Drosophila melanogaster: one gene and its partner. The protein of the gene in region 1 interacts with the protein of each later gene in a pairwise test. Each region holds a gene or a part of one and is shown on either strand. Other genes may lie near its edges.

What was found.
Region 2: the proteins of CG14297 (region 1) and RNF220 interact in a two-hybrid assay, tested with the Drosophila melanogaster proteins (one large-scale study listed by BioGRID).

What each region holds. Positions count from the first base shown.
Region 1 is NT_033777.3:18,889,119-18,904,997, reverse strand, and holds CG14297 (uncharacterized protein), read right to left. Parts: upstream 6,878-15,879; 5' UTR 6,706-6,877; coding exon 6,672-6,705; intron 6,605-6,671; coding exon 6,423-6,604; intron 6,362-6,422; coding exon 6,188-6,361; intron 6,126-6,187; coding exon 5,763-6,125; 3' UTR 5,656-5,762; downstream 1-5,655. Other genes in the region: CG34284 (uncharacterized protein), read left to right, coding at 2,091-2,135, 2,212-2,541; CG14294 (uncharacterized protein), read left to right, coding at 2,809-3,228; Rh2 (rhodopsin 2), read right to left, coding at 4,143-4,238, 4,293-4,326, 4,409-5,325, 5,422-5,520.
Region 2 is NT_033777.3:22,718,788-22,735,037, forward strand, and holds RNF220 (ring finger protein 220), read right to left. Parts: upstream 7,628-16,250; 5' UTR 7,483-7,627; coding exon 6,286-7,482; 3' UTR 6,097-6,285; downstream 1-6,096. Other genes in the region: wge (winged eye), read right to left, coding at 1,084-1,230, 1,292-1,736; Irp-1A (iron regulatory protein 1A), read right to left, coding at 2,643-3,472, 3,537-4,308, 4,372-4,472, 4,535-5,264, 5,331-5,500, 5,572-5,664, 5,725-5,737; CG45049 (uncharacterized protein), read left to right, coding at 8,520-8,704, 10,422-10,497, 10,566-10,752, 10,823-10,972, 11,030-11,092, 11,160-11,320; Takl2 (Tak1-like 2), read right to left, coding at 13,625-13,803, 13,865-14,000, 14,067-14,246, 14,621-14,920, 14,988-15,038; Dcr-1 (Dicer-1), read right to left, coding at 15,322-15,732, 15,796-16,250.

The DNA of each region.
Region 1 (15,879 bases):
TAGTGTCCAATACTTCCTAGCTTAGCAATCGACCAACATAGATGCAATAAAATTTAAATAAGCCTAATGCCGGAATTTCCTATGCTGGTTTAAGGGGTGCAAAGGTGTGTGTGTGTGTGTGTGTGGTAAGGGGGGGAGGGGGGGGGAGGCCAAAGGACTCCTGACCTAGGACATGCTTTGATGTGGCCGGCCGAGCTTTGCATTCCGCTGCTTTATTAAATTTCCCATCGGGAATTACAAATTTTGGCGTTTGCCTTCTTGACGCTTTTCGGGGCGCAAATACTTGGCTGCTCACGTCACCGTCACGAAAATCCTGGTTCGACCTCGACTAAAAGGATGCTTATGCTTTGGAAAGTTAGTGTTGTCATTATGGGGGAAATATGCTAACTTAAGTTCTAAGCAAATAATTTTTATAAATTAATAGTTTTAATATGCTAACTTGCAGGATTAAAAAAGTTACTATAGCTTAGCTTTAAGTAGCTTAATCCAATAATACCAAAATTAAGCTAAATCGTAATATTTCATTAAAAAATATATGCAACTGAAGTGACTTAATTTTCAGTGAAATATATAATGGCCAAGTCGTCATCACTTCGACGCACACTTGAATCGTTTTGGCCATCGCATGGAACTTGACGCATTTTGGTCAAATATTTGTACTGAGTTCCTCTGCTTTGTTTCCCTGACCTCCCTGGCCCAGCTCATTTTGCGGGGTTATGACAGCCCTTTTATGCACTTTTCCATTGGCGCCATCAATTGTTTCCAGTGCATGATTTGCTTCTCAATTGGAGCCCTTTGAGTTGAGGGTCGGGAGTCAGCTCGCTTGAGTTGCGTCCAGTTGCGGCGGCAATGTTGATTTATGTGCCAGTGCAGCTCCAATTATCCAATGTCCTCACTCAAATTGCCGGCCATCCTGCCCTTCGATTCGATGTGAATCGAATCGATTCGATTTGATATGGCTTTTGGATTTGCATTTCAATTCGAATTCCGGGCTTAGGACCTGTGGTTATTAAATGGCTTGGCTTAACGAGCCAAGGACCGGCCACAAATGACCAAATGACCAAATGACGAAGGGGCCATTGGATGTTGGATAAGCCACGAACAATGCCTAAATGGGGGCGAGTTTGAATTCAGATTGAAATATTTAATTAAATGTAAATTTCCAACATACACAACATCCGCCGCTTCACAAGATGGGGAGTGCAAAAGTTTTGGGCCAATTAATAAAAGTATTTCGGTATTGAAATTCGAGTTTGTTCGTCGTCATTACAACAATGCGGGCCAAACTTGGCCAACTTTGGTGTAGTGTTAGCCGCGAACTGATCGACCAACCCTCCGTAACTAAACCTCAACCGAATGAACCGCCTTAAGCTCTGTTTTGGTAATGCAAAAGTTGCGGCATTTGAAATTCAGGCAGCAGCAGCAAAACAAAAAATGGTAATTTCGAGCACAGAATGAAATCCAGCCGCAACTGCCCAACTAAGAGTATATATAAATCCGAAATTGGTTAGAGGAAAAAATTAAAAAACAAAAAAAAAAGAAATAAAAGCAAAATGCGACACATACGAAGGGATTCTACGGAAAGTGCATGTATGGAAATTTGTTTTCGGTTTGCGGCTTTTTTTGTTTTGATGCAAAAGTTGTGTGTGCCCCCCAAAGTAGGCAACAAAATTTCTGCGGCTTTGGACTGTGTCAAAGTTCGTTAGTTCGTTTGTTATTCGACGATATTGTGGGTCGCAAAAATTAGTGCAAAAACTAAATCCGTTCACGACCAAAGTTCCAATCCAATAGTGAATCATCCCACAAACTGAATGGTGTTCATCCGTAGTTTGCTATTAGCACTTGCTACTGTTATTTGATTCCCGAGTGCCACTTCCGCTGATAAAGTTATCTAATTAATCCAGCAAATATACGCTTATGGACCAACATAAAACATAATGGGGTTGAGGCTATCGTTTCGTATTGCACTCAGATAGATGGTGAGATAATGGAGGCTGTAAACTCTATCAAAGCGCAAACAGAAGATAAGTTTGAATGTCTTTCGAGTTTTTCAAATTGTGCTTCAGTCGGTCATTGAAAGTTTCCAGAAAATGTCGAGTGCAGTGCTGATAGCTTTCTGCGTCTTGGTTGTTTTGGTAATTGAAAATAATACTAAACACAAAAAAAAATCTTTAAAAATAATCTATTTTTTCATATATATGCGCTCAATAGACCGGACAATCGGTTGGCCAAAATGTGGCCGTGCAACAGTCAATTGATTGGGCCAATGAACAGTTCAAAATCGCTCAAGTTGTGGCCCAAGGAAAGCTACCCAACAGTGTTGAGGCCCGGAACGATGCCAATGACCAATTGGACACTCTGAAATTGGCTTTATCCCATTGCGAGGCTGAGCTGAAATCCACCCAAGGTGTCGATCTTCACAAGACTTGTGTTAAAGCCGTCTTCGCTGGCTTTTATACTGCCTTGGATCGCTTGGCCGCGGAACACTGGCCCATTTATGGAGCCACCTCTGGTGCCGCCCGAATTGGCTTCTTCTGCTAATTAACGTAATCATCTTACAAAGTTTAACCACATAGAGGAATATTTAGGAATCTCATAGAAGTCTAATATGTTATACAGATTTGGAATATGTTCGGAATAATAAAAAGTTATTAGGGTTGGATGGATTTGTTTTACTATGTTGTATTTCGTGCTTGTGTTTAAGGAATTTTACTTTTGTATAGAGATGTCAAGGTGTGTACTGCCTATGACAGCCATTTATTCTAAACAGAATCACAAAATTTTTTAGTTCGAACCACTTAGTGTACAATGAGTTGGCTGTCAACCATTTTCGGTATTATTTTGATAACACTTTTGTGTACGATATGGATAGCAGCGCATCCGCGATGGGAGCAAATGGCCAAAGCTGTGGCCTCCAAGATGAACTACGACGACCAGCATAGAATCCACACCGCATCTAGGGCAGCCAAAAACGTGGATGCGCAGATCCACGATTTCTACGTCAAGCTGGAGAATCAGAAGAAGGTTGCTGCCCGTGAAGTATTGGATAGTGCATACACTGAAACGACCAAATGCATCGAGGTATTCTACAGTGGTGAGCTGGAGCAAACGTTTAAGGACTGCATCGAGCACGTCACCCGTCTGCACATGGAAAGGCTGAGGTCACTCCTCCAAATTACCACTAAGCGACAGGCGAGCGGAGCAAGCAGACTTAAAATCTGGCACTGATAATACCCTGGAGTCTTCCCAGGATCGCTGGCAGGCAACGAGTCTGTTTTCTTTGCACCCAGTGCTTTCTGATGTACTTTAATTAGACAGTCAACTCGAGACCCGTCAGTGCAGCTTTTCATCTCAATCTGGGTGGGTGTGATTTCGGTGGGAGGGGATGGCATTCTAGTGCTCATTAGGCAAATGAGTGGTGTGGGTTGTGTAGGAGGCTGGAGGCCGTGGGTGGTGGCTGTTTCGTAATTATAATCATTAGACGCGAGACAAAACCCTCACAAAGCAAATAGCGACATTAGCTGCGTGGAAATGTGTGTCAATGAAGATGAATCTGCCCGAGACGCCAGGGAGTTGAACTCTGCGACTGGCATTGTTGATTTTGCAACGCTGGAGGGTCCGCCTTCGTGGAAGTTCAAAATTACGAGAGTTTTGGGTTTGGGGGACTAATGAGAATGCAATGAGTGAGTGGCAAAATGCATGCATATTTCCATTCACAAGTTCAATCATTTGCTGTGATTTAATTGCGTTCGTAGGAGATGTCGCTGAATACTTTGGGTATATGGAAGTCAGCATTGAATGGTGCAGCTTTTTAGAACTTAATGGGTTTAAAATTATAGCTATATATATATAGCTACATATATGTGTACGAGAAATTTGTATAATTAATAGTTTAAACACAAACTAGCCATTGGTAACAAGATTTACAACTTTACAATATTTAATACTATTAGAAATAAGTAAGTTTCAAAACAATTTGCAAACTAACTTTATTTTGTAAAGTTTTAGGAAACTACTTTTTGTTATACTGAGGTTTATTCCATTTTTTTTTTACATTTTTGTATCACTTTACGATATTGCATCACTTTTTTTAAACTTTTCTGTGCCCTTTGCAGGCAATTGCGTTGGTTTTTTTTCACGATTTAAGCCTTTGAATCCGCCTCAGATGTAGTTTCCGTATCGGAAGCGGGTGCATCCGGTTTCGGCTCATCCGTATTGCCAAACACACACATAGGGCACTAAAGGGCGAGAAAGGATTAGTGAATAACATTAGAATGGCTAAAAAGGTATACCTTTTCCTTGAGAACTATGCGGTACTTGGGATGGCTAAGGAAGTTAAGAAACATATAAATTAGATATAGATATCAAACGGAAATTGTTTTTTTTTTAAACCTATTTATTCACTCACCTAATGCCGTACACAATCGGATTGTAGACTGCGCTCGTTTTGGCGAAAGTCGCTCCCCAAATGGTCGTCAGTGGGGTCAATCCGTCGATTTTGAAGAGTCCGAAGTAGCAAATGACAAGGTATGGTGTCCATGCCATAAACCATAGGGAGATGGTAGTTAGAGCCACCTTGGCCAGTTTTCCCTCGGCACTTTTGTCGCAATCCTCAGAGCTCCGCAGGGATTTCACATTCATCTTCTTGGCCTGTTCCCGCATCGCTTTTTCATGTGCTGCCACGGCGGCAATGATGAACCAGTAGGAGTAGCAGATGAGAAACAGTGGAGTGTAGTAAACGAAGAGGGAGTAGGTGATTAAATAAGATCGCGGGTTCCACATACGCGTCATATAGTCAATGCTGCAGGCAGTCAGATTGCCCTCGGGCACATAGGCGCTCCATCCAATCAATGGCATGACAGTCCAAAAGACAGCCATCATCCAGATGAAAAGTATCTTCATTATAGACGTCTTGATGGTCATGGGTGTGCCATTGATACCCTTCACTATCACATTGTACCGATCGAAGGCAATCATGCACATGGACCAGATGGACACACAGCCAAAGAGCGAGCCACATCCCGCGTAGATGTCGCACCACAGCGGACCCAGCACCCAAGTCTCGTAGTAGAAGTTAATAATCATCACCGGCGACTGGGAGGCCATCATACAGAAGTCGGAGAAGGCCAGGTTGAGAACGAGCAAATTTGCCGGCGTGCGCAGCGACTTTGTTCCACCGAAAATGTAGACCACCACTCCGTTGCCGCAGCACGAGATGATCATAATGGCCAGGGTGAACAATCCCAGAATTTTGCTCATCATGGGATCCATGGGCGCAAAGCGGCTCCAGTAGGGGTTCACCAGGTGCGCCATGTCGGGCAGCACCTGCGGGATTGCAAGAAGGCAATAAGTTGAAGTGCCACCACAAAGGATTACAATTAAAACTAGAACTAACATAAATCATTTCCCCCAATCACTCACATTGTCCAGCACGGAACCATTGCCACTCGACTGGGCCTGAAACCTGGGCCCAGAATGGGCCAGGTCGAATGGCGTCTCCGGCAAATGACTGCGCTCCATGCTCAGCTACCCGCAACCCCTTTGACTAGACGATGGCTCATCGAAGTGGATCTGTGCCAAGAGGCCGAATTCCCAGCCCTTTATAGATGTTTGCTAACCCAATTAGCCGCTCATCAAAAGAGGCGCAGAAGACTTATAGACGGCGGACAGCTGCCAGATAAAAGTCAATTTTATTTAATTTCATACGCTACATAATCTAAGCGCAAGGTTAATTTGCCGCCTTTGAATATTAGTTCTTGACACTAAAGGGCAGCCAGAAATTTCTGTCCACATTTCTGGCACAGTTTTCGCTGCACTCCTTGGCTGCAGGATGGCATCGAGGTCTTCGAGTTGGATGGGTCGGTCGACGAGGACATCAGTCCACCGGAGGATCTTATCTCCGTGTTTAGCAGATATATGCCACTGTTGTTATGGCTTGTTTCCGTCAAGTGATTCGCCTTGGCCGAGTCCTGCGGCGCATTATCCTTGCCAGAGTAGTAGAGCTCATCATCATCAGTGCTGGGTAGCTCGTACTTGACAATGTCCACTTTTTGGCTAAGGATGAGCTGCTTGCAGCACTCTTTGATTTGGTAATAGGCGGATCGAAAGTTCTTTAGCTTGTGGGTCTGGATGGATTGCAATTGTTCGACATATACAAGTGGGTTGCTTAATGCTCAAATTAACTCACTGGGGATAGGCTGTCTATAAAGGCCGGCAGTCCATTCTTGCCAAACGAACTCAGAAGAAGTACCTGACAGTGTTTGCCAGCCCTGTTGTCCGCAGCCCAGAGGAGCAGTTCTTTGAACACGGCCTCATCCATTGCCACAACATAATCAAAGTACAGAAAATCATTCACGGTGAACTATAGAAGTAAGAATCTATACATATGTGGAGTTCATAAGTTGGCGCTAGGATAAGTTCACCTGACGACAAAAGTGATCGGATCGCAGTCCGTGCTCTCGCAGAATTTGCAGGCATCGCTTGTTCGGTCGCCGTCCAGTGTTCCATGTCCTCAGACCGGCACTATCCACCTCCCAGTAGAGACTCGTCTTGACCATCAGATTCTGCATAATCACCTCGGCCATCGGAGAGCTGCACGAGTTGCCTTCGAAATGACGTAAGTTTTTCATGCAAAATGGCAAAGAAATTGAAAAGAAAATCTCATTTCTTACCCATGCACACAAATAGTATTTTCTTGAAAGTCATTTTTATTTTTCTCTTTATACGTTTTACTTGGCTAAATTCTCCCACTTTCAACTATAATTTAAACTAATTTTCCTAACTTCTTTTTCGAGACTTATGTTGTATTTGACTGAGTTTTTAAATTGCCTGAAATACATGTCGAACGGAACAAATGACACGGCTTACTGGGTGGACTTCCTTTGCCCATTCAATCTACTGAATGGCCTGCTCCGTTTAGCCCAATGAACTCGACGCCATGGTTGGAGTAAATGACCATTTGCTAAGATAATCATTCCCACTAATGCACTTTTTACACCACTTGCAGTTCTCTCAACCCATTGAGGTCCTTTGTCAGGACAATGCTTGTTCTGTGCTCGTGTGCCACGCCCACAAACCCATTATTCTGCCAGAAAGGGGCGGGTGGCAAGATAGTGTCACGTGGCTGTCAGGTGTTGGCCCACGTACAGTCTTGTCGCGAGATGCATTCGAAATTAGTCAACAGGTTCAGCGAACTTCCAGCAAAGGTAAGGAAAATTGGACGAGAAGAGGGCCAACTCCAGTCATGTATGTTAAATGGGCAGAAGACATGCACTAAACTTAAAGCAGTTTGGCTTTTAAGATGCATGATTATAGTAATACAACACTAAAGTCATAGTCCAATACAAATTTATTAAATATGAAATTTAATCTTTTCGCTACTTCCGAGATTAAAGACAATTTGTTTTTCCGTGTAGTAATGATTGACCCAATCCCTGCTTATACTGATGTCATTTCACGATGACACTTCAGCGCACAATACAGTTGGAATTCATTTTAATTCAGTCTCAATTAAACGACTTCTGTGTGAACTCTCGGATCAATTTTGAACATTTCAGATGGCGAAACACTATGCCAGCATTTTTTTTTTTACTCTTTATTTTTATTTCGATTTACCTTGCCCCTTGTTGAGACGAGTGGAGCGATGGGGTGGTTGGCTTGTAACTTGGCCATTGGCAATATCCAATTGGAATTGCATTGAACGACTAAATTGAAAATGCAGCTGAAAAAGCATATTTCACTTATCACTTTTCACACAAAACACACAAGCAAAGGCCAAAACAAAGGGCACTCTGGCCAAAAGGGGTGGCCGGCCAGTTGGTGCCAGGAAAAGCGGGCCAAATGAAATTGTAAGCGCAAAAGTAAAGCACAACAGCAACATGCAGTACACTTGCAACAGCAACAGCAACAACAACGCCAGCGAAAACAGCAACAAGTCACTCACGAACCGGGTGAGTGGGAAATAATATGTGTGCTCGCATGCAGGATGGCTTGTGGGTGGTTGGGTGGTGGTTGAATGGCCTGGGTGGTGCAAAGCGGGTTAGATGCCGGACAGAAGTGTGGCTCTGGCACTGCATTGTTGTTTTAATTAAAAACAAACCTACCGAGCTGCTGGCCCGACAAAAAAAAAAAACAAAAAAGAAGCTGGCAAAAAAAGTAAAGCCAAAGTGAGCAACCTGAGTGGACAAAAACGAAGGCGGGTGGTGTGTGTGGTCCTACGCTGGTGCCTGAGCGAAAGTGTTGAATATTTGGAGCAAAGCTAAAAAAAAAAAACACAAACACACAAGAAGCAAATTGTGGAAAAAAATCCGAGAAAAATGTAGCAACGAAATAAAGAAAACCCAACGGACACACAACCGGAAATGTGCGACTATCTGCTCATACATATGTAAGTGTGGCCGCTTATGTGTGTTTGCTGCATTGCAACAACATTGGCTAATAGCAACCGTAATGCTGTGGCAGCATTTCGACCAAATTAAGGTATGAGCCACACCTAATGGCACTTTAAATGAAGCAGCCGAGTTGAAAATGCGAATAAAAAATGAAGAACAAATGAAGCTCAGGCCCGACCTGGCTGGCAAATGCATTTTGTTGACCACCGAATGCAATTTACAGCACAACAATCAGAGGTGAGCGCAAAATGTGGCAACTGCCCCCAAAAGAAACTAATAAAACACACAACTTTGTTGGCCCGGGCCGCCCAGGAGCTGCATTAACTGACCAGTGAGTTGGTGTAACATACACACATATATATTGTACATAGGTGCAGTCAGCAACAAAAGGGGCAACAAAGGGAGGCAACCAATGTGCTGCAACAAGAGGTGGTACAAAAACATCAACAGCATCCTCATAGTTTTGGCCACAAAGCATACACAATTAGACATGGAGCCCGAGTAGACAGGTGAAGAGATGTGAGTGGGCCAAGGGGCTGGTTGGATGGATGAAGTGGGTGAAAAGCTGAGTGGGTCGGAAAAGTGCAGCGCGTTTGCGGGCATTTCTCGCTGATTGAGGTTCAGCGTACACACATACATATATACACATACGTATGTATTTCCGGATTTGCTTTTTAAAATTAAATTTGCCGTGAGCACATGTGAATATATGTTTGTAGTCTAGGACTTCATCCTTGCTGCTGCTGAACGGCGCCAGAGGTCCTTTTTCGTTGCTAAACAAACGCCAAACTACAACCACTTTGTATGGGATTTTACTGTGCGTTCAGGTGTGAAAATTAAATTAAATTGTTTGCCCAAAAGGGGCGTGGCACTGTGTTAGCTAATTCCATGCATATGAATGCGGGCACGATAAATATTTATTGTCGCCACAGTCAAAAGAGCTGATTTAAAACTTTACAGTTTCATTTGCACAAAAATTAGGCGTTGAGAAAAAACTCAGAGATTAAACAATGCCACTTTGAGATTACATATACATTGACGTTCAAAGATTACGTACACTGACAGATTAAACTATATTAGTAATTATAAAGAGCTACTATCACATGTAGTGACGAAGCGCAGCTCAAGTGTGCGAATGCCACTGCTATGAATGTATGCATACATGAAAAAATTAAAATTTTCTGTATAACATGTAATTTCTAACAACATTAATTTTTAAAATATTTAAATACATTTTTTTTCCACTTTAAATTATTTGCCCAACGGTCCCGAAGTACTTAACGCAATTTCTCCCCTTCGTGCATTATCTTATCTTTTGAACATTTTTAAACAGATAAATAACAATAATATTGTATTGCCTTCTTTTGGGCCTTTGGTTGATTTTCGGTTGAGAAATGTCTGGGGAAACCCATTAATAAATGCTGCAGACGAGCAACGGAAACTGACCTCAGATAGGCGGATCGAAGGAAACCCAAACGGGCCCGAACTCATTAAAAAGCCAAAGGCAAATATGGCCGAGCGTCTTGGCCATTTCCTTAACCTTAAATTCGACCTCATCAATAGCGACGGCGGCAGCCAGTTGAAAAGTCATCTGACCGAGATTTTTTGTGGCCGATAATGCGGCACGTAGCGGCAATTCAGCAAATGATGCAGGAACTGGAACGGGTACTGGCACGGGAATGGGGCACGTTCATGCGGCAAGTCAATCGTCTGGAGAGGCATCTTCATCTGCGGCGCAGCTCGTAAGTCATTTACCATTTTGAGGTATTTAATGAGCCAAAAACTTTTGGCCGCACATAAATTAAAAGTCGACGGGAAACGGATCCAGGACCCCTACGGATTCGCCAGCGGTCAGGGTCAGGTGTCCGTCCGTCTGACCAGCAATATGGCTCTATTAGCATGCCCATTAAAATTAGACAAATGGTTGCCATTGCCGGTCGCCGTTTCGCATATCCGCAACTTTAGGCCAGTCCGCAGATTTATGGCTATATGAAGGTTCGTTGGCTGGATGGATTTTGGCCGGCCTTTCGCCGCAATCACATTCGCCACTTGAGAGAAATGCGCCGCTGCCGTTGGTTATGATAAATGATTTCGTTGCCCATCAGATGGGCAAATGCATGCATGCGTGTGTGTGTGTGTGTGTGTTCGCGGCACAGTGTGTGTGTGAAGGTCGTTCAAAGTCATCTAGGCGTAATTGGCAAGAGCAGGTAAGGTTCATACTCTATCAAATGCGGTTCCAAAAAAGAATGTAAACTTTAAATTATAAGTTTTGCATAAACTATTTTAAAGAAATAATTGTTGGAACATTATAAATATTTTATTCCTTATTATTAGTATTAATGCCTCAGTTAGAGTAGTATTTATAAATGCAACATTTAAAATATATATATTTAGGATGTACAAATACCTTATACAAATTTGTGAATATTTAAATGTAATATTTAAACTAAATTTCTAAATAAAAATAGTGAATTTTTGACATACAGAGAAACATATTTTTGTTAACTGTTTGCCTGGTTTTAGGTTCTTCTTGCTTTAAAATTTGACACTCCCACTTTAAGGAACCGACACTTTCTCCAATTGAGCTGCCTGAATGGAATGAGATTTTCCGCCTTGATTCCCTTTGCTGGCGCAAGTTCTTTGTGTTTGCCTAAGCGGCTTCCACTTGGCATTTTCTTCTGTACCGGTCCGAACTGGGCCGAAAGTCCTTGGCAAATTTAACCCTTCACTTCATTAAACGTACTTGCCGATACCCCGAGGGCACACAAATCACTTTGGCCGCAGATACAAAGGCTGGCTAGGATTGGATTGGGGTGTGGCCATAGAAATTCGACATATAGCCAAACAAAAGCCTAATCGTGCAGCTGCCACATCTTCTACTTCTCACTGGCCACACCCACAACAGCCCAGAGGAGGAGGAGGAGGCGGAGGAGGAGATCTGTTGAAGCTACCGCCTTTTGGTTGTAATCCATCAACCTGCTTCGGTTTTGATTTGGGGGCCACTGTCGCAACAAATACGGCAAACAACAGAGCAAGAAATTGGCATGGATGGGTGAAAGGGTTTTGGACTTTTTTTTTCGAAGCGGAGATGGTGAAGCCGAAGCTGGTGGATTTGGGAACTGAAGATGAAGTTGTAGGCCTGCCACAATGAGCCCAAAACGTTGCCAGCAAATTGTTTTCCATTCTCTGTTTGCCGGTGCGTGCTGTTCCTACATCCGTTCGGTGTTTTAGGTATTTAAGCATTTAGTCAGTCGGCTGAGCCTCTTTCACTCTAATCTTTCGGTCCATTCAGTTGTCATTTAGTCCACTCTTCTCCTAGGCCAGCCTTTGTGGATGAAGTGAACTTAATGCGGGGCAAATATGACAAATTAAGCCTCCAGGCAAAAGCTGTAGCATACTCTTGTGTGCCCCCCTATATTGTTTCAGATATTAGATGGTTGCTGTTGGCTAACAAAAGTAAAGCAATGAGCTTAATTAATAAAAGACACAGATTTTTTTTTCAAAACAGTGTAAAACTTTAAATTGTATATGACAATAGGAATTTTAAATTGCAATCAATTATGTTGATTTTCGGTGTTTTGTGCATTTTATTCCCATTTTAAATTATTTTTTTAGACTGTTAAAGAGCTTTTCTTTTTTTTTTTGGTTTTTTTATATAATTTTTTTTGGCTCTGCACTGATGGCTAAATCTTTGGTCTTTGAAAATAGCTCAATTAATAAAGTTTCCATTGTGGCTGCTGCCCAATTTTACGAACATCCATGACACTCCGCACTCTATTTCGACCACATCTCTGGTTTCACCCTTGAGTTGTCAATCATTTCGATGATGCGATGCACTGGAGATTGAACCAATTTCCGATTTCCGAGGATTGCAGCTGGTGTGGCCGCTCATCCTCATCCCATTTCTTTATTGTTCCTTTTGATGGCGCGTCAATTTCAATGCCGCACGCACATGACTTGGCCGCAAACTTGGTTACTTGGCCATGACTGTCGGGAGGGCCGCAAAAGCATGGTGGGCATCAGCAGCAGTTGGATAAAGTTTCCTTCACTTTTCGGAACTTGCAACTTTTCTCATTTGTGCGTGTGCATTGGTAAGTTGCACACACCACACTTCTTCAGTTCGCAGCTTGCCTTTGCAGCTTTCAAGTTGGTGTGGCATCCAACTGTCGTGCCGACCCTCGTTTCCCTCTGGCCTCTAATAGGACAAGCACGAAACTAATCCGCAACACGACGACAAGAAAATTGAATTCTCGCAACTGTCAAATTGAATCTGCCTGCGCCTGACCCTCTCCTTGTTGGCAATTGTGGAATCAAAACTTGAACATATTTGGCTAAGAGGGACTAAGCCCAACTGTTCGCCTTTGTTTAAGAAGGTTAAAAAAGTTAAAAAATGTAGAATGGAGCAAAATACTTTTAATTAGAAACAAGCATAGCCACAATGTAATATTAATATTCTATACCAAACGTTTGGTTTAGCATTCACAAAAAAATATTAATTAAATCTCTAAACCAAAAGAAGCTTTTCAAGTGAAGAAACGTTATAAGTAAATGTTGAAAATTGTACATTTCAAATGCGCTCAGCTAGTAAATAAATTGACAGCTGACTTTTCAAAAATGTAAAAGCATGCTTTTTCAAGTGCCTTGCGTATGAGTGATGTTGCTGTTATTGGCTTCGCTGACTTTTACCCATTGTAAGTGTCGTTTATTGACTTGCCTGGATAATGACAGTCTTCATCGATTACGCGATTATCGCAGTGTCACTTTAGAATTTTTCGCAAAATTTCCTCATTTTCGGGGCGTAAAAGCTTTTAGCCTTCGCCCCTCGTAACCGACCGCCCACTTCTCAATCTCCAATCCGAAACGTATGTATTCGCATCGCCCACTTTGCGTCATTCGGCGTTCGAAATTGCTGCGCTTCAAGTGTAATATCACTTAAGCTCTTAAGCAGTCAACACCAAGCAGTAGAAGATGGGGCAAAAAAAAAAAATAAATAAGAACAGCCAACCAGCCGCCTCAATTGCCACACTTTCAGCTGATTGGCCTTGCCACGCCCCCTTTTGGCCTTCAAAAAAGAACACAAAACTCCCAACTGTCTCATCCAGAACGAAACTAAAATGTCTCTAATGTGCGTCGAGCTGTTTAGCGCTAAAAGGATTTTGCAGTTTAAGCTGCAGAAGTGCAATAATTGAACAAAGGCCAGCAAAGATACACAGTGACATAGTTTGCATTTGCCGGGAAATAAAACAACGAGCAGGTGAGTGAAGGAGGTTCACTTGCGTAAGACAGGTGAGATACAACCAAATGCTATTTGCGCGGCACTGCCAAATAAGCAATCAACAAGAAAACGACAGCGAATTAGTCACCTGCACACGATGGCTGGTCCGTTGGAAATGAGGTGCGGAAAGTGTGGAAAGTGCGGAAGTGAAGGGCGGAAATTTATGTTGTAAAGTGCATAATGCAAATGCAGGCAAACAATAAAATAACGAGTTGTCTGTGCAAGCAAATTGCATCGTGAACACAAAAACAAGCGAGTGAGTCAGTTTGCAGCACGTGCCGGAGTCAAGGAGCCAAGGAGGCAATCGCCTCATGCTCGGCTGCCTCCTCTAACAAACGTGGCACAAACGACAACACTCAGTCGCAGACAGCCGGGTTGCTAACAAGCCGAACGAACACGGGGCGAGTCCAAAGGAGTCCAAAGGACAACCGAAGGAGCCATGTCAGTCAGAAGCAACTCCATCCAGGCAGGCAAAATTTGGCGCTTGTTTGCATATTTGAGCTCCTGTTTGCCACCTTTGTTGGCCCAGGTGTGCACGGCGAACAAAGAAACGACTTGACAGCTCAGACACTGCGAAAATAGAGTTTAACGATTTCTAAATGTTTAAAAACATACTTTTTCCAACTACTTTGAAGGGAGTTTTTTAGAAACCTACATTCTAAATTTACTATAATGTACACTAAGTTCATAGAAAGTGACTTAGACAATAGCAAGTCAAAGTAGTAGCTAAATAAATGGGCAAAAATAACACAGATCTGTTCAGATTCTTCGAATCAATTAGCGCAATATCCGCATTTGTTTGCATCTGCACCACGAAAAGAATCCAATTTAACGACGCAACGCTGTTCCGTATCCAATCGAATGTCCAAACATGCTGGCTCTCATTAGGGAAATCTCGCGTTCCTGTGCATGTTTAATTTAAAGCTCAAATCGAAATGCTGCGTGACTTAATTAAATTGCAATGCTATCGAAGGGGAAACCAGGGTTATCCATCCATTCACCCCAATCGTGCCACTGATGTGGCACCCATGCCACTGCCACTGCCTCTGTCAGTGGCAATAACAATTTAGATAAACATTGAACGCGGCATGTGGCGCGTGATATGCAAACGTGCGTAATTAACCTTTTGAAATGGATACCAGGTGGATACCCTCCCCTACGGCTTTAGATAATGCCCACAGTCTATATATGTGTATTGTGTATCCGCTGGCTAATCACCAAGTGCAGCTGATGAGTCGAGTCGAGCCCAAATACTGCACGTTCGTATTGAAATCGGCGCCGCTCCGCTGATGGCGCTAATCTAGATGCCACATCCCCGCAAGGAGTGCACTCCCCTAAACTATCAACAAATAGCATTAGGCATAATTATCAGCTTAGTGCAAGTATCGAAGGGCAGCTGTTGTTGTTCTGGCCACAAGGCTGGGCCTTCGCTTTCTTGGCCAAATGTCTTCATTGTCGTGGCCATCAAAGGGACTTGCAAATGGCATTTGCAATGACATTTGAGTCCTCATTCCGCACCTCCACCACCGCACACCGCATGTATATGTACATGCATATAAGCCTAAAGGATAACGCGCTGCGGGTGTGACTAATGTTGACTTGATGATGATTAAGTTGCACGTCCCCCAGGATGCCCCACGTGCGTGTTGAACTGTGGGCTGAACTGTGGGCGTGTCTGCTTTGAATGAACTATCTATGAAAAAAATGTGGGCCAAAGGGGAGCGAGCCCATTTCGGCCAAAGTCCCAAACCACGGCGAACGTGATTCAATTAGAAAGGAAAATACTGAACCGAGTCAAATGAAATACACTTAAACACTTTTTGCCAATAATCAGTCAGTGGCTAGGACCCGCCGGGGATTGTCACGGCACCTTTTAATTATGTTGATAATTAGTTGGCGACGTGACGGCTTTGAAGCCCAATCAGCAGTGCTTTCTGTCCCAGAGGCTTGTAATTGTTGGCCAACAGTAGCCTCGGTTTGGAGCATTGATCTTTGCACAAGTAGCTCCGGGATTTACACGGAAAGAAAAGATGGAGTAAGTACATACAAACATGTTAAAATTGGCAGAACATTGCCACTGGTAATAAGTTATGCGTAAAACACCTTGCTTAATTATGGCAAAGTTTTGTAGCTTGAGGCACGTTTCAATTGGAATGCCTCATTCCATTTAATTGCTAATCATCTTTGTAATTTCTAATAACTCAATTGATTAAA
Region 2 (16,250 bases), 3.8 Mb from region 1:
AAGTCAAAGCAATACAAATTATATATTCATTTAGTTAAGTGTAATGATTCATTTCCCTGCCATCATATTGCTCTAACCATTTATAGACGTTATCATTTAAAGAATAACATGAAATTCCATGTAGTGATTAAAACAAAGTACACAGTTTCCTGTACTCTTGCTCTTTGATTAAGGCTATGGCACATCTGGTACTATTTTGTAAATAGATTGATATGAAAAAGTAACCCATCCAAGATCATAAAGTTCATGTTCGTGTCATGGGCATGGTTGATTATTTCACCATTAGCAGACTTTAAAAATAATCCGGAAAATGTAATTCGACTGGCTACGGCGACAAAACACACCCCCAAAAAAATATAAACATATTTATGTGCCCATCTAAAGAGCAATTTCAAGTCGACCAGAGCCAAGGCGACGCAAAGCCTCCCTTCTCAAATCGCAATGTGTTTCACTTTCGTTTCACTTCCGCTTTAGAAGTTCGTATGATTTACCACCGGGTTTCCTTCTGCCCGCAAGGGAGGATGGATATGGGGATGAGCCGTTTTGAGTCGAATCCAGTCGATTCGGTGGCTGTCACAACAACGACAGCCGCACAACAGGCGGCCATCATATGATTCCTGCCCTCTAAACTCCAGCGGGTTGTTTAAGGCGGAGACGACACCCTCGGCCATTGCTCACTGATGGAATTCCGCACAGCGCTGAACGTTTGTTGGCAATCTTATTAGTGGCATAATTGAACGACGTCCACGTCCTGGCATCATAAGCATCATATAACGTTGTCCCTTGGGAAGCGCCGTTCATTAGGGGCGCTCAAATCTGGTGACTCAATTGAATTAGATGCCCAGAAGTTACACGGATGGAAAAAATGTATGGCACAAGACAGTGATTGTCTTAAATTTACATATCATTTAACACAAATGGAAAACAGCATCTAGAAATATCTAATGATTCTTTAAGTAAATCATTTGGTATCTCAAAGATAGCAGATACCTTAAAACAGTTTACATCCCCTTGAATATCACTAAGAACTTATTATTTCCATGAGATGAAGCTGCATTTCTCTCTGTGTAGCTTGGCACTCACCGAGGTCAGCGACGCGTATGCCGAAGCAGTTCAAGTCCTTGTTGAGTGGTGGCTGCAGCGGCAGCGTAGCGGGGGTGTTGATAGCCGGCACCAGAGCTTCTTGCGGGCGTTTCCTGGCCACGGCGATGCCAATGGGAACGGAGTTGCCTGATAGAATCGTAATTAACCGATGAGGAGTGCTCTTGACCAGTGGCTGGGTGTCACCTACCTGTGGACTTTTCCAATTCCGATACCTTTGGCGAGGGAGCCTCTATTTTGACGAGAGTGGTCAGTGTGGAGGAGGACATGGTCTTGGAGGAGGCGGTCATCGAGGCGGAAGACAGGCCCTGATGCTGCACCTGGTGCTGGTGGTGTTGGTGATGTTGCTGCTGTTGCTGGTGGCAATTGTTCGAGCTTATTTCGGACACCTGGCAGGGTTCCCTCTTGATCTGCACAAAAGTGTACGACGAGTTGGTCTGCTGATGGTGATGGTGCTGCAGGGGAGTGGCCGTCGCCGCGGAGAAGCCTCCGAATTGATCCAGCTGCAGATGGGCGGTATGGGCACCAGGATGCGATACTGCCGCAGTGGTGGGCACCAGAAAAGTAGCCGTTGCTGTGGTGGCGCTCAGAACGTCGGCGGCACTGCTGCTGGCGCCAGGATTAAACGTGGCCATCGGGTAGCGGTGGCTGTGCACATATATGTATGGCTACCGCTCCCTGGGATCTCTAGCCTATACCTATTTCACTATATATCTTGCGGATTCGACCAAAAACTAAACGTCCATTATCCGCACACACAAACACACGTGGACACACACGGCACACGGACACACACTAGCACTGGCCCACACACACACGCACACAGTCTACATTTTTACAGGTTTTCGCTGCCTCTTTCGGATGCAACATTGGCTACTGGGCCTGCGGCAATTCCCCATAAACAAATGACATAATCCAAAGCGACGCGACGCCACTGGGCACTATCCACAGGTCGAGGGAACCGAAGCACCCACCAGTCCAAGTGCGGTTGCCCAAAATAAAACCCTGTGCGATCCGAGATCTTTTCTTTTTTTTTGTGTTTTTTTTTTTTGGTGGGGAGGCGGAGGCGCGACTTTCCTGCTGCGTTGTTGCGTTTTTGCGCGGTTCTTCCAAGTGAATATCGAGCACTGGCTGCAGAGCTATTGGCCAACACACGATCTGTTGCTTATTTATGTTTTTCTTTTGCGAATTGGAATCAAAATCCTCTGGAGAAAAGTCCACGGGACGGACAAAAAAAGAAGCAGCGAACTATGTTAAGTTAACAGCGATATAACAGGGACTATTCGATTTTATTGCTGCCTTGTCGATGATTCACCAGCAGGCGTTAGGCATTTTTAGCAGGACTGGTTTGGCCATCGGCATTTCTGCTATCGATAACATCCAGAGCGCGCAATTTAAAATATTATAAAATATTTGAAATATTTTTTTTTTAATAATTATCATCTCACAGATGAATGTCAAATTTTATTTCCCAGCACATAATAACAATTAAAAGTCGCCTAGAAATGCATATGGAATATAAAAGTCAACGAACGCACTAACTAATCCAGCATTTTGCGTATCATATAGTTCAAAATGCCGCCATTCTTGTAGTACGTTATGTCCACCTCGGTGTCGAAACGCAACGTGGTCTCAAAGACATTGCCATCAGCATCGACCTGAATCCTCTGGCCCGGCTTCAGTTCGCCCTCGGGCAGGACAATGTTGTACACCTCCCTGCCACTCAGTTTCAGGGTATCGGCGCTCTGGCCAGGCAAGAACTGCAGCGGAATGATGCCCATGCCCACCAGATTTGAGCGGTGAATGCGCTCGTACGATTCAGCAATCACCGCCTTGATGCCCAGCAGAAATGGCCCCTTGGCGGCCCAATCACGTGAGCTGCCACTGCCGTAGTCCTTGCCTACGACCAGAACCAAAGGTGTTCCTTCGCTCGCATACCGTTCCGCCGCATCGAAGATGTCCATCTCCTCGCCACTGGGCACGTGCAGTGTGCTGGGTCCCGTCTTGGATGCCAGTTTATTGACCAGACGGATGTTGGCAAAGGTTCCGCGTGCCATCACCGCATCATTGCCACGTCTGGATCCATACGAATTAAAGTCGCGCGGCGTTAGACCCCTTTCCGACAAATAGCGCGCTGCCGGTGACTTTCGTGCAATGGATCCGGCTGGCGAGATATGATCGGTGGTCACTGAATCACCGAGAAGCAGCAGACAGCGAGCCTTCTCGATACCTTTAAGTTTGGGCAGCGCACGAGTCATACCCTCGAAGAACGGTGGTAGTTTGATGTATGTTGATATTTCACTCCATGGATACAACTTGCTATCCGACACCTCCAACGTTTGCCAGTCCCTGGATCCCAGTTGAATTTTGCCTGTGATAGCGGACACAGTTAGCCTAGAGCTGCGGAAAAATCTTAGTCAGCTAGCTATACTCACTGTACACCTCCTGGAACATGGCGGGAATGACGTGCTTATGCTCTACCTCCTGAATCTCACTGCGCGTTGGCCAGATATCGCGCAGGAACACCTCCTTGCCGTTGGAATCCACGCCCAGCGGTTCGATCTCGAAATCAATATCCACACGGCCGGCAATCGCGTAGGCAATCACCAGCAGCGGACTGGCCAGATAATTGGCCCTAGTATTGGGATGGATGCGACCCTCGAAATTGCGATTGCCCGACAGGACGCCACAGCAAACCAGTCCGTTCTTCTCGATGGTGTTCACTACGTTCTCATCGAGCGGGCCCGAGTTGCCAATGCAGGTCATACAGCCATAGCCCACAATGTCGAAGCCCAGCTGCTCCAGATAGGGAATCACACCGGATTCCCTCAGATAGTAGGTAACCACGCCAGATCCTGGTGACAATGAGGTCTTGATATACGGCAAAATACTCAAGCCCTTCTGCACGGCATTCTTGGCCAGCAGACCAGCGCCCAACATCACCGAGGGATTCGAAGTGTTCGTGCACGAGGTGATGGCGGCAATCACAACAGATCCATGACCTATCTTATAGCTCTTCCCATCGTCCCATTGGAATTCACCACTTGCAGCCAATGCACTCGGTGGTATGGCGAATCCCTTGAAGCCGACAGGACTTATGAGGCACGACTTGAAGTCTTCGCACATGCTGGAAACTGAAACGCGATCGTGCGGTCGCTTGGGCCCCGAAACCGAGGTCACCACGGTGGATAAGTCCAAAGTTACAGACTGCAGGGTAAAAAAGTGATTCGTTAGTATGTCTTTGCATTGGAAAAACAGAATCTCACTTACCTCCGTGTATTGGGGATCCTGATCCACAAGGGAATAGTCACGAAGTTGTCGAGTGGCCTTCAAATACTTCCGGATAATATCGATTTTCTTCTCGGAGCGATCTAATGATCCACATCCATGGATATCAAGTAATAAATTTAGATAATTTTTAAGATTGACTCACTGGTTTGGCGCATGTAACTCAGCGTGTTTTCATCGATTGGGAAGTAACCCACAGTGGCTCCATATTCCGGACACATGTTGCTGATGGTGGCGCGATCCGCGATGCTGAGCTCTGCCACTCCGGGGCCGTAAAACTCCACGAACTTGCCGACGACACCAAGCTGACGCAAATGCTTGGTAATGGTCAGCACCAGATCGGTGGATGTGGCCAGAGGGCCCAGTTTGCCCTCCAGCCTGTAGCCAATCACCTCTGGCAACAGCATGGAAATGGACTGGCCCAACATTACGGCCTCCGCCTCGATACCGCCAACACCCCAGCCGAGAACACCTAATCCATTGATCATTGTAGTGTGGGAGTCAGTGCCCACAACGCTATCCGGATAAAGGATCTTAGATCCGTCCGCTGAACTGTCGCTTTCGAAAACCACTCGGGCCAGATACTCCAGGTTAACCTGGTGCACAATGCCAGAGCCGGGTGGCACAATTAGCATATTGTCAAAAGCGCGAGCTCCCCATTTGAGGAAGGTGAATCGTTCCTTGTTGCGCTGGAACTCTAGTGACTCGTTCTTGGTCAATGCGTCCGAGGAGCGAACGAAATCCACCTGAACGGAATGGTCGATGACCAGGTCGGCAGGGCAGATGGGATTGATTTTCTCAGGATTGCCGCCCAGCTCGCGGACAGCATCCCGCATGGCAGCAAAATCCACGACGGCGGGAACGCCAGTAAAGTCCTGAAAGCAGGGAATATCTTAAGAAGTCACATACAAACATAATCTATGTGATGCAATAATCCACACCTGCAATATAACACGAGCTGGCTTGAAGGAGACTTCCACATCGCTGGTTTCCTGCTTCAGCGATGGAGTCCATCCCAGGATGCTCTGCACATCCTTCTCCAGCACATGAAAGTTGTCACAGTTGCGCACCGCTGATTCCAGCAGAACGCGAATGGAAAAGGGCAGTGACTCTGTGGGGGGTTAATAATATTCATAAAGATAACAACAATAATGATAACGAACAACAATAACGATTACCAACCATATTTGCTGTCGATGGAGGGCAGATCAAAATACTTGTAGACGTTGCCGTCCTGGGTGAATGACTCCTGGAACTGGGCAAAGGGATTGGCGCCTGCAAGGAAGACAGGATTAGCGTACAGATCAAATACTCCTTTTTCCAATTAAATCCCACCGGAGCCGGACATTGTGGAAAAATTAAACAGAAAACCAAGCAATGTGATATAGAGATGAGCGCGTGAGGAACCGCTACCAGGCAAAACTTGCTCATCACTAACGCAAACATTATATTATCGATAACTGAACATGAAAACAAACCGGTACACAGTAAAAAATATTTATTTATTACTTAAAATGAAACATTTGTAAATTATAGTGGAATAATTTATCATTTTTGTGATTCGAAAATAATATTGGATATAATATTGGATTGATTGCTTTTTTATTTTAGTTCAAAATAAGGTATTTAAAATAACTTGTTTGCATGTCTTTAAACGCTTTTCCCTTCCTACATGCTAATTTCGTTAAATAAACTTAAATATTAATTATGTTTTCTGCGGTTTATTGCAATAGTTACATGGTAGGCTTATTGTAATGTCACGTAGTATAATTGGTATTTGTAATCTATATAAATAATATGTATAGGGGATTATCATCTAAAGCTGCGTCGGGATGCAAAGCCTGTTTTATGGCGCAAGCAATTTGGCAGCGGGGATAACAAGTCTGTGATGGACGTCTACAGGTAGATTCGTCGCAGGTCCTTCGGCGTGGTAATCGAGTTGCACTGCGGGCACAGCTTTCGCGCGCCGAGCGTCTGCAACCAACACTGCTCGCAGTGGACGTGCCAGCAGGACACGGAGATGGCGGGATTCTTGTAGTCGTCGATGCAGATCAGGCACTTGTACTTGCCCTGCGCCTGCTTTTCGTAGAGCCGCAGCTTGGCCTTCAGCGATTCGATGATCTGCTGCTGGTTTTGGGAGGTGGATCGCGTGGACCGCGACGTAGACGGCTCCTCGCTGGCTGGTGGAGCCTCCACGTTGCTTGTGCTGGCAGGCTCTTGCTCGGTGGCTTCGCTGGAATGGTTTGGCTTGGGCCCATCGCTGGAGGAGATAAGTCGGCGCACGTAGCTGGTAACATCCGCCTCGGAAACATTTCCCTCTGTGTCCTCGTTGACCAGTGGGATCACATCGCCCTCGCCATACTGCGTAGGACCATAGATGTGAGTGTCATCCTCGTCCACGTTGAGATCTTCGTCCTCGTCGTCCTGCGCCTGCTGACTGCCATTGTATTTGATTCTCTGGCCCAGGCCCAGGGCGGAATAGCCTCCTTGCACGAGAGTGGAGACGCGAATGCGCTTCTGTCCCGCCCACTCGTACTCTTCATATTCCTCGCTGTCCTCCGAGTCCTCACTCGAATGCCGCTCACCATTGGCCTGACCATTGCGGCGGCTCTGGCGCAGGCAATGATTAACATGCTCTTGGATGTTGGACTGCGGAAAGTTGTGGTTGCACACGGGACAGGTGGGTTGGCTCGATTCGGCAGCAGCTACGGACGGAGTTGCTGCAGCTGGAGGAGGAGCAGCTGCTACCGTAGGATTTACAGTTGCTGGTGGGGCAGGAGAAGCCGGACGCTTCCTGGTGCGCTGGCGCTGACGGGCCTGCCGATTGCGCTGCACCCGCTGGAACACGCTCCACGGTTGTCTGCCCCCCGATACCGAACCGGATTCCTCGGACGCGGTTGCTCCGCTAGTTGGGGTCGGTGGAGTGACAGCGCTAATGGGATTGTGCAATCGCTCCATCTCCACTTGGCAGTGATCGGCCACCTGACTGCGCTTGATCTTCACGTCGCATGTGGGACAGATCACGTCGTCGTCGCTGTTTCTGCTCAAGTGCTGGGCGAAGTTCTCGCCGTTGGACACCGTGTCCGTAGCCATCGATTCCTCGGATCCACCGCGGACTCTTAAGGGTAAACGAAGTTAAAAGATTCTGTAGTCGGATTTTGTTTTGTTCGATAATCTCTGTCCAAGCCACGCGACGCCGATTTCTTACGTTCTCGTACGGTGGAAAACGGTCACACTGATTTCGTTATTTTTCGTGTCAGTGGAAGTGGTCATTGCGATATACATCGTAAAACCGTTACAAAAGCGCCAAGCACAGTGATTAATATGCTTAAGCAATAATTAAAATTTTATTCACTTAAAAATATCTTTATAATAATTGATTATTTGTTTGAATTCCGTGTTAATTAAAACTTCAAAGTTTGCATTTTGCATTCCAACAACTCTTTTGACCTTAAGTCTTACAATAAAATAATTAAACGTACTGATTTCTTAATTTTTACTCTACTCTGGTTGGTCTTAATACAGCAATATATATATATTATCAGATTGCGTTGTTTACATGCCCGATATAACATGTGACAGATAGTGTCTCTCCCTCACTGTTAGGAAATTTTTATAAAGCACAGCCCCCGCTTTGATAAAAGTTTAAACATCCGAAATGTAAGCTATTTTAATTTCCTTTCTTCGTTAAATTAAATAATTTGACGGTAAATGTAAATTAACTGATAGTTCCATGGCACTTTATCGCTATCGAGAAATGCCCAGCCAAAACGATAGTATCGAGACAACATCGATTTAAGTTCCAGCTCTATGAGGGAAGCAAAACATTATTATTTTCGTCGTTTTTATTTTTTGATTATATAGAAAAGTCAGTGGTCGAGGAACATGTGAAAGTGGAAAAGCGACAGAGCTTTTCAAGCAGAGTGTAAGTGCATACAGGTTGAACCCAAAACCGACGCATATTTTTGCGAAAGTGCAAAGCAGACGGCGAGAGTGTGAAAAGGCAGCGAAAAGAGAATAGAGAAAAAATATAGCAGCCAGTTTCTCCTGGGCGTGAGTGTGTGTGCGTGTGCCATATTGTTAAATAAGGCAAATATAGTAAAATAAACGTAGAAAAAACAGCAACAACTATGCATCAGCAGTACCAGCAGCAGCAACAACAACAGCAGCAGGGTAACCTTGTTGGCTACAACAACAAAATGAACGTCTTGCCCAATTACACGCTCAGCGGAATGAGCTCCTTTGATGCCGAATCGCTGCCAGATTATTCAGAATTTGATTCCGAATCGGTAACCCTGGACTATTACAAGGAAAGGTATATTCCTGAACTCAAACAGATCGCATTTTGTTTTGCTTCCGTTCTTCCGCATAGCACACAACACACACACACACATATATAAACATACGTGTATACGAATTCCCTCGCCCTTGCCATTGTTGTTGTTTTGCATTTGGCCGTTTGCCCCAATTTTGCCTGCCGTTACCGTTACGTTCTATATAGCAATTAACCGTTATGATCCTGTTGCCATGCCACTCATTCACACACACACACTCACACACACAAAGTCGGTACTCGCTCATCTGCGAAATGTGTTTTTGTTTTTATTCCACATTTCTAGCCGCTATATGTAAAACTATATTTATCTCCGTCTAGCCCGTCGAAATATCTTGAGATACATTAGACGCAACATCTACTTACACAAACATATGCATCTTTGTTTGCGTATCTGAAGATATTAAAATTGGCAGGGAATCGTGCGAATTAGGCATAATATGCAGTTTTAACGAAATTTTGATACACTTCCTATTTGTTAGCAACTATTGAGCAAGATCGATAATAAGAAGACTCTGTTTTATAATATTTGTTCAAAATTTCATTTCAAGATGCTGATATTTTTTTTACAAACGTACATAAATTGTCACAAGTCTGACCTATTCTATTGTACTCTCAGTTAGGGTATAACAATGGAATGCGAATGGATAATTAGCATGTCGGTATTTCCAGCATTCAAAATGCTTAGTTGCAGTCCGCCTTGCAGCATAATTTATGTGGGGACTGCACCTCATCACCCCAGCTTCCGTCTTTTGTCATTGAGCCAAAATACGCCCCCCAATGATGACTGAAATATTCCGTCGCGTTTTTGTCTGGCACAATAGAGCGATTTCAATTTAAACAATCCCAAACTCATTCAACTGTACCAACGCATTGTTTTGTAAATTGCGTCAGTTAATACAAAACATACATACTACATTGATGTCTACAATTCTGGTCAAAATAGTATAGCTAAAGTTTATTCTGCTCTCAACCAAATTCTGATCCTATTTTTTTTGCATATCAATGCTAAATCTAAAGTTCAATAGTTGTTGTTCATTACACATGATAATAGAATGATAATAGTTAAAAACCTAAAAATTTGAGCACTACCGTAGTTTTAATTGTCGCGTTGATGCAGTTCGATTGGAATAAACCCCATAATAGTTAGCCATTGTCTTTGTCGATATTGTTGCTCGAGTTGTTTTTGCATGTTGCTGCTGCTTACTTAACTGTCTTGATGTAAACAATCATGTTGTACAAACCATGTGCGCCAGTCGGTCTAATCGAATGTCACCAATTTCTCTATTTCCCGTCCCGCTAACAAACAAATCCCCCCTCTTTGACAATACAGATGTTGAACGGGCTGCTTCCGCCAGCAATTTGAAATTGAAAACGCATTGGATAAACCTTAGCGCGCAAACCAAAAGCAATAAAACGCCAATTGAAGCATTTATATTAGATTGTTAAAGCCAACCGGCGTAGCATTTACTTGCCTGCCCCAAAAAAGTAAAAAAAAACAAAAAGAAAAGAAAAGAAACCCTTCCAACATCCCACTAAGCAAAACTAACCAAGAAACGCATTGAAACGCATTCCAATTAGTAGCTGCGGGCAGCACATTGCCTGCATATACATAGTCGATAAGGTGAGTTTGGCTGGCCTAATAAGCCGGTAAAAATACCCCTACCCCCGCAATTAATCACAATTATCATGCGCGCAGTGTTCTACGTCCACCAGCGGAGAAAATGGCGCCGACCACGACGATTGAGACCATCACAATCACGAGGCCGCTGAAGGTATGCATTTGGCCTAAAGTTTCGGAAACGTTTACAGATTGCACCGACTGATTTCTCTGCCCTCACAGGTGATTGCATTTATCTGCGGCGTCATCGTGGTGGCCCTCATGATTATGGCTCTGGCGTCCACAGATTGGTTAATGGCCTCAGACTGGCGGCAAGGTCTCTTTGTGCACTGCATCGAGGATGATTCGGTGCCGCCGCTGCCATTCAATATCCAGGATCCGCCAGGATGCTACTGGACCCGCGATGTCGGTATGTATTGCATGAAGAAACAGCAATCTTAAGCTCGAATTTAACATATAATTCGTATAATGTCCCTTAGGCTACATTAAGGCCACAGCCGCTCTGTGCATCATCACGCTGATAACGGACGTCATTGCCACAGTACTGACAGGTCTGGGCCTCCGGACGCAGAATCATAATCTAAAGTATAAGTTCTATCGTATAGCAGTATTGGTGATGCTTGTATCCTGTGAGTAACTAGCTGAACTTATGTCAGAATCACATGTTAAATATAACTTTTTCGCAGTGCTGGCCGTATTGTCCGCCTTGATCGTATATCCAGTATGCTTTGCCGGCGAACTAACCATGGGTATGGTAGCCTGAAACCTTGATGTTGAACTTCTTTCCACTGACTTGTATTCCATTTAATGTTATAGCCAATCGACGAGTCTGGGAATTTGGCTGGGCCTATGGCGTCGGCTGGGGTGCGGCCATCTTTCTATTTGGGGCCGTTGTCCTGCTGCTCTGCGACAAGGAGTCGGAGGAGATCTACTATAAGGAAAGGAAAATCGTACATGAAAACCAAATGCGCGCCTAGGCAAGGCCGCACGACCTGCCTGACGTCGTTCTGTAGAATAAGTATATAGCAACCAACCAACAACACACACAGACACACATAGATTTCGATTTAAATCAGACTCAAGAACAGAAGCAATTTGCAGCTAAGCGAATGTGTTACAATTATGATTGTGTATATCATGACCATTTCAAACCAAAAATCCGTAGCCATCTTATAAACCACCCCCCACCCACCATCTTATAGTACTCGGCATTTGTTTAGATGACGTTACACCCAATGAGTTGATTTTGTGTTCGTTCGTTTCGAAAGGTAATCGTAGACAAGCCACAAACACACGACCCACATCTATCATGTAGTCAGTCAGTCAGTCAGTCACATGTATGTACGTCTAGGAATTCTGAAAGTTAATCGCATTAACCAAAAACCCCTACATATATACAACTGCATGCCACATGAGTTCCCCAGCATTGTAGGCAACTTTTAGAGCTTGCTTTTCCGTAGAAAACTGAGAGCAGGTGCCAGTTGAAATTAGACCTCTTACAATATTGTACTCATACTCGTACTCAGCTACATTATACATAGCAATGTACTCCCCATGTATCTCAATCCTAATCGTGAGCAGAATCCAAATTAGAATTTGTATATGAACGTAATCGAGGGAATAGGTGTAACCACGACATATAAAGCCACAATGTCAGCCACATCGTCATTGTCAACGTTTCATGCCGATTACGCTTTCAAAATATTTGTTCTCCATTTGTGCTCCATATGTATATCCGTTTCGAATATTATAAATTATGTGTTTGTCCCAGTGTTTTGCGCGATACACAACACCAAATGTACTCGAATATATGTGTTGCTCTTTTACCTTTTGTAAAATAGTTTTACCAAACCAGTCCAGTACTCAGCTTGTACTTGTACTAATGTCCCCGAGCCGTTCAGTTATATGTTTTAAGCCAAGCCGACTTTTAAGTATAATCACTCGTTTGTAAACTCCTATTTTGTAATAATTTATTGATACCTGTGTTCTTACCACAACCGAAAACATATCACACGCAACTGACAGCAATAAAAACGTTTTTGACACCTTTTGTTAACAATTTAAGAACATATATTTTTTTCTTTTTTTTTTAATTTTTTCCATATACGATAAGTTTGTTTAAGTTGTAAACCAGCATAAGGTATGAGTATTGGCGATATCGCAACAACTATAACTAAGCCATCCTTTTTCATAATTCAACGTTATCTCTGGATTTGTTAGTTTATTAGCAAATCATTCGAATTCGTCCATCACATCTCGCAATCAGAACATAATTATGTTTCGTTCGTTTTCGTTTTTAATGAGAAGATTTTGATTCAACGCCGAAATGAAGCGAAGCAAATGCAACCAAAATTAAATGCGACCTAAATTACAACAATACAAAGGGAATATATATGCTTGAACATCCATATATCCATATATATATGAAGACATTGAACAAATCGTAGGCAGGAACGTGCGGTGAAAAAAAGACGAAACAAAAACAATTATAGCGAGTATAAAGACGACAATTATACCAAAACCAATTGAATTAATTAAACTATGCTTACATACACGCATGTTTATATATATATATATATATATATATAGTTATATATATATAAGTTTAAAGTATGTAACAATTAATGCAATTAAAAAACAAAACAAAAGGGAATAAGTAAGAAGCAACCTATAACTAACGAAACAATTATACTCCAAAAAAACGAAACTCTACGAAACGTTACAGTTTTCCATTGTGTAACTAACCAACACATGAGCGAGGATCATTTTGTTTTAACAAGCAAGCAAAATATATATACAAACACATATGAATATATTTATTAAAAGCGTTTTAAAATTTAATTTTTTAAATTTACATTCGATAGAAGAAAAACGACAAAAACAAAACATCACCAGATTAAGTAACATTATCAGTAACAAACGTATTGCTAGTGATCCATATACTGTAAAACATATGCCTAGATCATATTTTATAAATTCCCTATATGCATTACCGAATACCTAATACCTATACCCGCATCTAACGAAAATAACAAACTATGTACTTCCACAAATTATTCTGCAGTTCACTGGATATAGCCTTGAATTGAATATTTGGCGCTCCAAAACCCAAAAGGCATCTAGCCCACATACCAACCACCCACCCAACCTATCCGCATAACCCGTACAGCATCCCGTACAATGTAAATACTTCAGGAGAGTTTTCAAGAAAATAAAATAGTGTTTAACGTTCACAACGATATCCGTTTTTAATAACGAATGTAAAGGGTGGAGAATTAGTTTTATGAGTAAAAATCCAGTGGTGGAATGGATCCCGCCTCACTTAGGATTCTACCCATGCTTTGGGAAATCAGTTCCATAGAAAATCTTTTGCTGATATCCGGATCCCAAGAAGCGTACAAAAGAGCAACTATATCCGCGGGGCAGCCAGACATAATGCAACTTAAATCCGGTCTCTCGCCTGAAATCATAAGTTTATTACATAATAATAATAATAATAATATCGAGAGATAATCTCTTGCCTTCATTAATAGCCATGTACAGTTCAAAAAGCGTATTATATTGCTCAAATGGCTCCTTGCGCGACAATATTTCCCAAAAGGTAATAGCCCAACTATACACATCGCACTTTTCATCGGGTTTATTTCCTTGTAGAACCTTTTGAAAGCCGGTTGGTTGGTTGATTATTATTCGATTGGATTTGAAATCAAACAACTCCCTTACCTCGGGCGCTTTGTATCTGCAGGTGCCCGCATTGCACGATATCGATTGGGATAGGTCCACAACAGTTCCGAAATCGCAAATCTTCAGTTTGAGTCCCTTCTCGCATAGCAGTGTATTGAGTGGCTTTATATCGCGATGAATTACTGCTTTCGGCTGCATGCCATGCAGATAGGCTATGCCCTATGAAACCGTCCGTATTATTGGGCACAATAGCTACCACGCTTCTACCAAAGACACTAGAATAACAAGATGCGTAACAATTTTTTTGGCGTGGCTCTAGAGGAGGTTGCCTAAGGCTCTCTCTCTCTCATTTTTATTCAAGAGCGAGAGAGCGGAGAGCTCTACAGCGAACAGCTCTTTTCTACGCATACAGTGACAGCCGACCACTGCATGTGTGCACACGTATGTTCATGTATGCTCATGCATTGTAAATTTGTCAAAATATCTATATTATTTTGGATCAATTGGCACCATGTAAGAATTTCTTGTTTTGCATTATTCTAGTGTCTTTGCTTCTACTATCTACTATGGTGATGATACCATTCATACCATACCTGAGCGATCTGATGCGCCCAGTTGAAGGCGTGGGCATGCGAATAACTTGGCTTGCTTTTCGCGTGCAGAAAACTGGACAGAGATCCACCGTCTACGAATTCCATCAACAGCAGGGCGCATCCCTCGTGCCTCGATGTGCCGTAGAGCTCAACTATGTTGACATGGCTGGCCTTTGTCAGCTGGTAGATCTCTCTTTCAATCTTTTTATCCTCACATCCCTCGCGAATTCTCTTCAGCGCGATCTCACGATTTCTCCAGACCGCCCTGTATACGCTGCCATAGAATCCGGTGCCTATAAGCTGCAATGGAATTGCACGTTGAATTTATAATGCCATCCAATCCAGCTGGCCGTGGATAATCTCAAACCTCTTTTGTCTGGATCTCCTCATAGGGAACACCCTCTACAGGAGCGGACATTTCTTATCAAATGGCAAATTTTCACTGAGTTTAGTTCGCGAAAGGTTAAGCATTTAAGGTGTGATTAGCTTATCAGTGACTTTCGTTTGATGACGATTTCTTATCTTATCAACATCGATTTCCTCTGCAATAATACCTCATAATGCAAGGTATAAAAGAAGATAGGAAATTCTGCACAGTTATTCGACCATAGACAATCTATTTAAGATTTGTACAATTAAAGTTCTTATGTCTAAAAAAATAATCATTAAATCTAATGAAACACGATTGCAGCGATGACTTCTTAGTCTTTTTTGGCTATCAAGCCCTGCTTTTTGAGTTGGCGCAATGCGCATTTGGCCGCCGTGCACTTGGCAATGCGATAGTTGCGTCCGATGCCACGGAAGGTTCCTTTGCAGAAGACATCCACGGTAACGCGCACCCGTCGCCCATCCGCCAGCTTCTCGGGCTTGCCGAACTTGGCGGTTTCCGGCTCCAGCTCGAGGAGCTCCCGAATGGGCGATTTTGGCACTGAGTTGCTGAACTGCTCGATCTCCGGGCTCATCATGTTGCTATATACGTGCCAAACCACGTCCAGCGACATGTTTGAGTCGAGAAAAATGGCACCTGCGATCGACTCGAAAACGTCGCCCAATGCCTTGGGCACCTCAACGTCCTCGGCGTCATCGCACTCCTCCTCGGACAATAAGTAGTACTGAAAGCAAGAAAGAATATTACAATTAGTTGTCGTATTATTGGTGACTTTCCTTTAACACACCTCCTCACTGATGCAGTGTCCATTCTCCTGCTGGATCCGCACAAAACGGTCAATCACATCGTTAAGGCCCGGCGAGAGGTGCCGGAAGAACTTGTGGAAGCCATGGCGAACAGCCAGGGAGGCGAATATTGTATTATTCACCAGTGCTGACCGCAAATCCGTTAATGCGCCTGGAGAATGCTGGCGGGGATCTTCGTATAAATGCCGCGTAATGAGGTAATCTAGAACAGCATCGCCCAGGAACTCCAGACGCTGATAGCAATCCGTCAATCGATTGGGCGTGTAACTGGCATGTGTCATGGCTTGCAACAGGTACGACCGATCCCGGAACTTGTATCCCAAACTCTCCTCAAACTCCTCAAAGCCGCTTAGTAACTGGTCCAGCTCCTCCGTAGCATTTGGAGCAAAGTGCAGCAGTGGACTACGCGGCGTGGGCCATGCACCGTAAACGGTGA